2 linked regions of the Nothobranchius furzeri genome follow. The protein of the gene in region 1 purifies or fractionates together with the protein of each later gene. This does not show direct contact. Links are inferred from orthologs where the notes say so. Each region holds a gene or a part of one and is shown in the gene's direction. Other genes may lie near its edges. The genes, in order: smarcd3b and bcl7a.

Region 1 (4,587 bases):
ACGTCGGGGGGTCCAGCAGGGGGTACTCCTGCACTCAAGGTTGACTTGGTGCATCGCCTGAGCTGCAGGGTCTCTTTGTTATCAGTGAACGCCCACGTGTCGTCGCAGGGGAGAAGGCAGAATATAAATGACACAATATATACATGACACAATCTCTGGGTCTGTAGTAATAAGCTCAGCGGGTCGAGCCTTTGACCTTGTCAGAAATGGAGACCAATGCCTTGCCTCTCTAAATAATCGGCCAGCTCAGAAAAAAACATCTCTCATTTTCCAGTTCAAGTTGAGAGGAGGCTGTTGATGATTTTTATCAGCAATGAATTAAAAAAGGTTTAGGGGCTGATGAAGTGTCAGCAGCAGTGTACCTGTATCATCAGTAGGTGTCGCCATTGAGCTAATTAATGCTTCAGACAAGGGCAAGCGTTTACTACTGAAATATTTGGAGGAACATGTTGGCTTTTTGGAAATCTGTACCAGTTAACGTATTTAGGATTTATCTGGTGTCTGGGTTTGGTTGAACTAATAGATTTGACTTTAAAAAGTGATGATGTGACCTCTGACCCTCTCATCACATCTATTCCACAGAAATAAAATTTCCTATTAATCTTGATTATAAATAGAAGCAACCTTGTTATTTATTTTAATACATCCGTCATAAATGATTTCTTATTTGGAGATCAATGTTGGTCATAATTTCTTTCTTCCTGGACTTCTTTGTTTCGTTGCCTCTCTGACACCAGCAGAAAAACAGAAAAGGAAATGATAACGGTGACGATTTGCCTTCGCGTGCTCCGCTTCGCCTCCTTTTGTCATTCAGATAACCTCATGAATATTTCACCCCTCTGATCCAGCGGCTGGAGGAAAGCGAGGGGCTGGAGCGGTCAGGGTGTGGGGTAGCTCTGGTCTGAGTGTCGACCTGTGTGAGGATGACAGTCTGGATTATTCGGCTGTCTTCTCTTTAGTCCTTCTGCCCTTGAAAGGACGAGTGTGTGTAACAGCTTCAGCTTTCTGCATTTTTATAGATAATAACATCAGCGAAGCAGGAGATCCGGGCAGGGTTGAGTGTGATTGCTGGTGTCATACAGAGTCACCTTGCTGCCCTGGCACTGGGTGAGGGGTGAAAACCAGTGAGGTGACTGGGGGACATGCTCCCAACTTACCAGTGCAGCCCTCCTGAGTAAGTTAGTGTGTGAAGCTCTCCATCATGTGGCGACTTAATGAGATGCAGCGTGGCCCCTTTAAGACTCCATCTTTTTTTGAGAATGGGCCCAGAGTCAGGGTTCTGTGTGTGCTGACCGTGGCCTCTGATGGTCTGGGGGGTGGAGGGTGTCTTGTTTTAGACCAAACCTCTCTGCAACGCATGCCCTTATCTACCAATGGAATGCAACAGCTGTGTGGGGGGAGCGGCAGGGTGGGCTGGCTGAAACCCCCCTGCCAGACCCCTGCATGGCTTCTCCCCCTCCACACACACACACACCACCCTACTCCACCTCCAAGCGAGCGACGTGCCGGGCTTCTGAAAGGCAGCACAACTCAAAAGTGATCCAGACACACAGAGAGCGGCTCGGCGGGGCTGCTACACGCTGAGGGGGAGAGAGAGAGAGAGGGGGGGGGGAGGAAAAAAGGGAGAGGGAGGGAAGAGGGAGAAGGAGAGTCAGGGACAAGCAGTGCTGAAAAGGAGAGCACAAAGAGAAGGAAAGTGGAGCAGGGGAGGGGAACAGGAGGCTGGGTGAAGGGAGAGGGAAAGACAAAAGAAGGAGAGGGGAGACAGGACTGAGCAAATGGCTACGGAGGAGACGGCGGGGGGAGCCAGGAAAGCCACCAAGAGCAAACTGTTTGAGTTCCTGGTCCATGGAGTGGTGAGTGGCGCTGTCTGTCATTCCCATGTAGAGGAGCCGAGCTCTGGCATGCATCTGTGTGTGTGATGGTGTGGATGAGTCGGTGGAGCAGCGTGTGTGTGTGTGTGTGTGTGTGTGTGTGTGTGTGTGTGTGTTATAGCTGGGTAAAAGCTGGCCATGTGAAGGATATTTCCAGCCCCTCTGATCCGTCAGGAGATGGCTTGAGGAGGATGAGAAGTGGAGCAGCATGAATGGATGGCTCTGAGCGGGAGGGAGGATTTCTACACATGAATAATTGTAGAAACAGAAGCTAAGGCAGCAGCAGCTCCTCCTTTTGCTAACATGAGGAGGGAAATGACGAGGTCCTTCCAGAAGGCGAGATGCTGGCTTCAACCTGTGAGGTCATCAGATGGAGTCAGAGCAGACGGCTGATCCTGGAGATCACACCGAACAATCAGATCCTTCATGTAACACCAGCTCGGCTAGAGGTTAGGCAGCTGTGAGCTGACACATGGGGCAGGTTTGTTTTGGTCGACTTCACCTCATCTCCAACATTTATGGCAGCTTAAACCACTCCTGACCTCAAACCAGACAACATATTCTTATTTCCACATAAAATAAAGGATCTAACCAGGCGCATTTATTACATTTTGTGATACAGATTATAAAAAACTCTGATATTTGCCAATTAAGTGAATAAATAATGAATTAACTGGCAAGAAAGTATGAGAAGATCCTCAGGAAGCAACAAACTTAATATTATTGTTGTTGCTGCAGATAAATGATGGATTTAATGCTGTTACGGTCAAAGAAGGCATGTGAAGCATTTCTGTGTGATGGTGGTGAGCCTCAGCTACCAAAACACCAAATCCTGACTCAATAACTGAAAACAGCTGAGTTTGAGGCGTTGATGCGTTTTGGCTGTGGCGGCCATCTTGAATCAAGGTGACTCCAGAAGTTAATTAGCTGAAGATGTTCTTCTAATGAGAGTTGGATTCAAATCCATCCAGTTTGGGATTATTCTGTTTATTACCAACGCAAACCGGATGATTGAACAGTTTTCAAGACTCCTGTTAGAAGTTGAACTGGTTTAAACTGGTGAAATGGGAAATGGGCACAATCTTCCAATTCCATGTTAGGAATGATTCAAATAATGACCATTTCAAGCTTGAATTGTTTAAAAAAACACTCAAAATTTATAGAAACATCATAAAGTTATTGTAAAGCTTCATCTAAAGTTTAGTTTGAATCATTTGCTGTGCTTAATTGAAATATGCACTGATAATCTACATTATTTAATAAGATTTTTACAGGATCTGATGGTTTTCTCTAATGAAACGGTGAAAAACCGTCTCGTATCCATCGTAAAGGCTCTAGGTGATACTTTTATGCTTTAATCTGTGAAGTTTTCTGACTCGGTTTGGGTTTTAATCCACGCTTGGTTGATTAATACTCTGAAACCAGATGAGATGTGGTGTCTTTGACAGGAACAGTCATTAAAAGGGGTCTGGGTGGCGAAGTCCCGCGCTCGCAGACACATTTTAGGAAACAACGGAGCAGGTGATTGATGAGCCAGATGAATCCGTCCTCTCAACAGACCAATTAACCTTGATGAGTCTCTGGCTGCTCTAAGCCAAATATTTCTCTCTGCTTGTTTTCTCCTCTCCCCTTTCATCCTCGTTTCTTCCCTCATATTTGATGGAAACATCTTGTTTTTATGCAGAAATATTTATACTAAAAGATGTGGGATCTGGCTCAGTGTGTCAGCTTGTGGTGGACGATGATATTTTCTTTCCTTTAGTGGGGAAATGTAAGAAGAAAATGGCTTTTTGATGCAGAAAACTTGCTAAAACTGCAGCCTGTGGTTCTTATGCAGTTTCTCCACTGAGGGACTAATAAAGGTGTTCTTATTCTTATTCTTATGGGTCATTATCTCCTCTATGTCCCATCTCGTGTCTGTGGACGTACGGTTGGAGGAAAATCCTCCGTGAGAAAACCAAAGATAAGCCAACACGTGAAGTGGCACACTGTAGCTATGTTGTCTGCAAAATGTTGCACAATTTGTGCAAAAGTGAACACAGACTTGATTTTTCTCCCACGTTAGTCGTTCTTTAAAGGAAAAGTTCCCACAAGGGGAGTTTCTTCCATGTTTCTGGAGTTTTGGGGTAATCAACGTCTGAAAGATGCAAAAGATCTTTTTATTCTGGGTGATTATTTTTTTAAAGCCGTCGTCACGGTGATCTGGTCAGCAGCCATGATGACATCTTTCTGTTTCTTCAAATAATTAAATATTTGAATCATAAAATCAAACAAAAGTAAACACAAGCAAATCTAAAATGCTCATTAAACCAGATTTATTCTGCTGTTTACATGTGTTCAACTTTTAGAAATTCATTTATATAATAATAATATACAATAGAATATCAAAATAATTTCAATCAAATTAAATTAGTTTATCATTGTAATCTATCATTATTTATGAATATCTAGTCAAACAAAAATATTTATGAGAAATAACTAAGATTTAAGAAATTATAAGGTTTGTTTTATTTACTTAAATATTCTGATAGTAAATATTTAATATAAAATATTTAAATACAAAGTCAAATAACATGTTCTTAAAATAAGGAGAAATGCAGATATTGTTTATTTGAACTATTTGATTTATTATTTAATATAATTAAAAATAAAAAACAATTTTGGTTTTTAAATCATTAATAAATACATAAAACTAAATAAATACAATATATTT
Region 2 (4,439 bases), on another chromosome or scaffold:
GTTTCTTCAACACTTAAGTCTCATGTCCCATTTTCTGTCTCAGACATGCAGCTACCTCCACTGCTCCACACACACTAACCACGGACTCAAACAAATGTAAACAAAAGCTCTGATATTAAAATCCCTCCAGCTGACGTGAAGCAGGAAGAAAAAAAAACCTTACAGGTAGATGAACGCAAACCTTACTGTCGTCTCCATGACTGCAAGGTAGAGCGACAGCAGGGACAACCAATCACACGTTAGTATGTGCAGCAGAGCCAATCAGTGAGCTTGTAGGCGGGTCTAAGGGAAAATGGGCTCAGAATGGGCTTCAGCTTGAAGCGGCTGCCTCCGCATGGTCCTAGTGCCTGATATGTATCACAGTATAACAGTTTTGAACAGTAAAATCTGGCGAAAGAGCGGAAAAAGGATACTTAGGGTACTTCGGACAAAAGGGGCAGGTGCTCAAGCACCCTCCGGCCCACCCCCTCTACACGTGCCTGCTGCACATAAAATAAATCAAATTAAAGAAGGTACAAAAACTCACAAAAGATAAGTCAATCAAAGAAACAACATTTCGAAAAAGAGAAAAGCTGCCATTAGAATATACCTACAGAAAAAAACAAGCAGGAATTTAAATTAGCGAAACATTTTAAAACACCACGCAAAGCTTGTGCATTTTCCTGTTTTATATTTATTTGTCCCACTCCGGTCAAATAAATTCGTTTTTTGTTTGTTTTTATTCTCCATAAAAGCTGGCACCACTAGAGGGCAACATAGTCTTTTTTTAATCAATTTGACAGTAGAACGAGCTCATGCAGCCCTTAGATTTTCTCAAGACAAGTTGAATTATTTTTTCAAACTTTGCCACAGTGAATGATAAAATGAAACTAAGATCTAAGTTTTCTGATTTATTTAATAATCTCTGACATAAATTATGTATAAACATTTTAAAGGGGAAACACTAGGATGTAAAAACAAGCCTACTTTAAACAGACAGGATGATCCAAAGTGTAAAGATTTCTCAAACATGAGATACACAACAAGAATGAAGCCAATACTGAAAAAAACATCTTATTGATGACAACATTAAAACATGGCACAAGGAGACTAGAAAACTCTGTAAAGCTTAAAAACACAAATGCAAAAAATTTTCATTAAATAACTATGACACACAAAGGAGCCCAAATGCATTTAGTACATTAAAAAAATCCAAATCTGTTGGTTTGAATGCTAGGTTATTGCGATTCCAAGAAAAATATTGAAAATACAAAACACAGAGGCACAGAGAACAAACACAAAGAGGTAGTCACCATGGACAGAATACTTTATTCCTTTTTTTATTCTCGTTGTATCTGGTAGTGTGGGGCCTAACAGGAAACTAATGAAATTCAAGATTCCCCAAAACCCCTTTAAGCTGTGAAGATGCTCTGAAGGGTGAGAGTGGAGGGTTATTTCCTTTCTCTCCTTCTCTTCCAGATATGTGAGGCAGAATACGAGGCAGCGCGCTGCCTTTGTTCTGCTGCTGTCTCAGCAGGGAAACACATCTCTGTTCAGAGTGCAGCTGCAGCCGGCCTCTTTTCTCTCTCTCTCCCCCTCCTCCCCCGGTTCCACCAGGCCGCGCTTGCGCACTGGCTCCTCTGTGCGCTCTACTGTTTGCATTGTGTCTGAACTGCCGGCGAGCTTTAAAAATATTATACCCACCGCGGCAATGTCGGGCAGGTCGGTCCGAGCTGAGACACGGAGCAGGGCGAAAGATGACATCAAGAGGGTTATGGCCGCTATTGAGAAAGTACGAAAATGGTAAGAGAAAGAGGATGAAAGACTCTGCTTCGTTATCTAACAGGAGAAAGGCTTGCTTGTTGGGGGAGGAGAGGGAAAGAACGAGACGGAAAGAGGGATGAAATAGAGAGATAAAGGGTAGTTTTTGAACGGGCTTTTCGGCAGATGTACCGGCGGCTCAGGTGCACCGGAGCCGCCTCGGCAGGCTGTAGCCTCCCCACCGGTCGCCCTCTCCGCTCGCGCGGGGACACACTACATGTAGCCGGTGATTTTCCGTTGGTTTTAACGGCAAAGGGTTGAACCCAGAAGCCATTTCGATGCAGTCACATGAAGCCATTGCTGCCTGCCACCGAGCTGCTCGCGCAGGCGGCGGTTTTCGGAGCGCAACGACCGAAGAGTCTGGACCTGGAAACAATTTGACGACGGCGCTCTGGAGTTGGAGCAGTTTTGTCCGTCTGGAGTTTTAAATTAAGCGCTTTGAGTCGCCCTTTAGGTCTGATAGAGAACTAGGCTCGGTGGGGGTTGGGAGAGGGAAGTAGCTGCTGGGCTCTGAACACGTCAGTCTGCTCGCCTTTTTACACCTAAATCACATTTTGTTCACATCAAACCTCCAGATAACACGCGTTAGTTTCCAGGATGAGAGTTTTATCAGTTTGGAGTCGCGACTCTGCCTGCTTGGTGATTAACCAAAAGTCCACACAAAGCCAGAAAGTTAGATTGTCGCATAACTTTTTTCATATTTTCACTTTTAACATGATGAAGATCAACACAAAAGACACAAGTTTATACCTTTATATTGTTTTATTTTATCAGGCTTTTTGATGTTATTTATAAACATTTTCGTTTGGTTGATCTAAAGAGTGACTTTGTTCAGTTAAACAGTTATCCACGGAAGTAATGCACATTGAATTTTATTTTTATTTTAAACATTAAATGGTAATTTTGTTGAATTGTATTTTTTTTTCGCCCATTCTTATCTGAAGCAGACTTAATTGATAGTTCATTATTAGTTAATGGATACTAACTTTGCAAATGTTAAAAATTTCACTTTTTACATTAATTTATTTTGCAATAAAGGTAAACAGAAGTTGGAACAGGGATGTCCAAACTGTCCTTTCTGCCCACAAACATTCTTTTATTAATCAATTTATGTTAAATATGATGCAGTTATTAAATGTTTTTTTCATTCTCACTCAAAATAGGCCAAATACTCAAAAAAAAAAAAAAGAACTTAATGTGAACAGCGTGCTGGAGATAAAATTCCAACATTCTAGAATTGCATATTAGGGCCACACAAAATCAGTGTGAGGGCCACAAATGCCCCCTGTGGCTCTGGACCCATTCTACTGTGCTGTGGTCTATCGTCCACCTGGTCCAAACAGTTCTTTCCTTCAGGAGTTTAGTGACTTTCTATCCTCCACTGTGAAGCTGTCCAGACTGGTGATTGTTGGTAACTTTAACATACACGTTGATGATCCCTTTGATCACTTTGCCATGAATTTCGCCAGCCTCATGGACTCCTTTAGCTTTACCCAGCATGTTTCTGGCCCCACACACACCTGGGGACACACTCTGGACCTTGTTTTTATCCTGTAGCCGGTGTTTGTCTGAGGACGTTTATATTTCTGATCACTATTGCATTTTCTTTAACTTGTCCGTTTCTGCGTCCCCACCTCCTGCTCGCCATCTGGTTAGTTCTCGTTTTCTTAATGAGAGCACAGCTAGCAATTTTTCTGCTGCTTTTGATCCACCCTGTTCTTCTGATAATGACCCAGATTCCTGAACTTCTCAGTTTAACGAGCACTGCCTCTCCATTCTGGACAATATCTGTCCTGTCAGAACCAGATCAGTTCCTGCAGTGAACCCTACTCCCTGGTTTAATGACAGCCTTCGCAGCCTAAAGCGCCAATGCAGAAAAACTGAGCGCTTGTGGAAGAAAACCCATCTCCACGTCCATCTGCTGCACCTAAAGGATCTTCTGACATCCTTTAACTCTGCAGTCAGAGACGCTAGGGTTTCCTATTTTTCCCACCTGGTGTCCCAGAGCAAAAGGGAACCCCAAGGTGCTGTTTAACACCATCAGCAGCATTGTCTGTCCTGCCGGTGTCGGTACAAGATCTGCTCGGGTGCAAAATTGGCTCGGGGTCCGTCGACTGCCGATGACGTCTAAGTAGTTGATTGGCTGAACATGAACCTTACGGAATTACGCAATCATGTTATGTTGGTCCAGGCAAATCTTTCTGTTGGAAAGGTGGACAACTTTTACAAAGAAATCCATCATTACCTCTTTGAAAATACACTCTAGAGCTGCATGTATATTAGGGCTGAACGATTAACTGCATGTGCAATTAAATTGCGATGTGACAAAAGGAGATTTTCTAATCGCAAAGGCTGCAATTTGGCAGCGAGTGGTTAACGCAATGCTAATATACATGGAAAAACCCATAGGAATGCTAATGCTAATATCGCCGATTACATTATTACAAATTATGAATTAGAAACGTGCCAAATGATTACATTTGGAGTCTAATAGAAAGTAAAACTACCATCAATCAAATAAGTACAGACAGGTATTTTAGTAAAGCCAGAAAACTTTTAACTCCAGAGTTTTGGCTAGCATCTATGAGCGTAACTATACGCATGGACAAGACGTCAAAAACTCTAAACACAAAATACTT

The links.
Region 2: the proteins of smarcd3b (region 1) and bcl7a purify together in Homo sapiens (affinity purification with mass spectrometry; 4 studies listed by BioGRID and IntAct, counting the BioPlex papers as one, with this or other methods). This does not show direct contact. The link is inferred for Nothobranchius furzeri from reciprocal best matches to the Homo sapiens genes SMARCD3 and BCL7A.

What each region holds. Positions count from the first base shown.
Region 1 is NC_091747.1:45,543,022-45,547,608, reverse strand, and holds the start of smarcd3b (SWI/SNF-related matrix-associated actin-dependent regulator of chromatin subfamily D member 3b), read left to right. Parts: upstream 1-1,643; 5' UTR 1,644-1,778; coding exon 1,779-1,856; intron 1,857-4,587. UniProt on the Homo sapiens protein: Involved in transcriptional activation and repression of select genes by chromatin remodeling (alteration of DNA-nucleosome topology).
Region 2 is NC_091746.1:40,383,511-40,387,949, forward strand, and holds the start of bcl7a (B-cell CLL/lymphoma 7 protein family member A), read left to right. Parts: upstream 1-1,594; 5' UTR 1,595-1,690; coding exon 1,691-1,782; intron 1,783-4,439.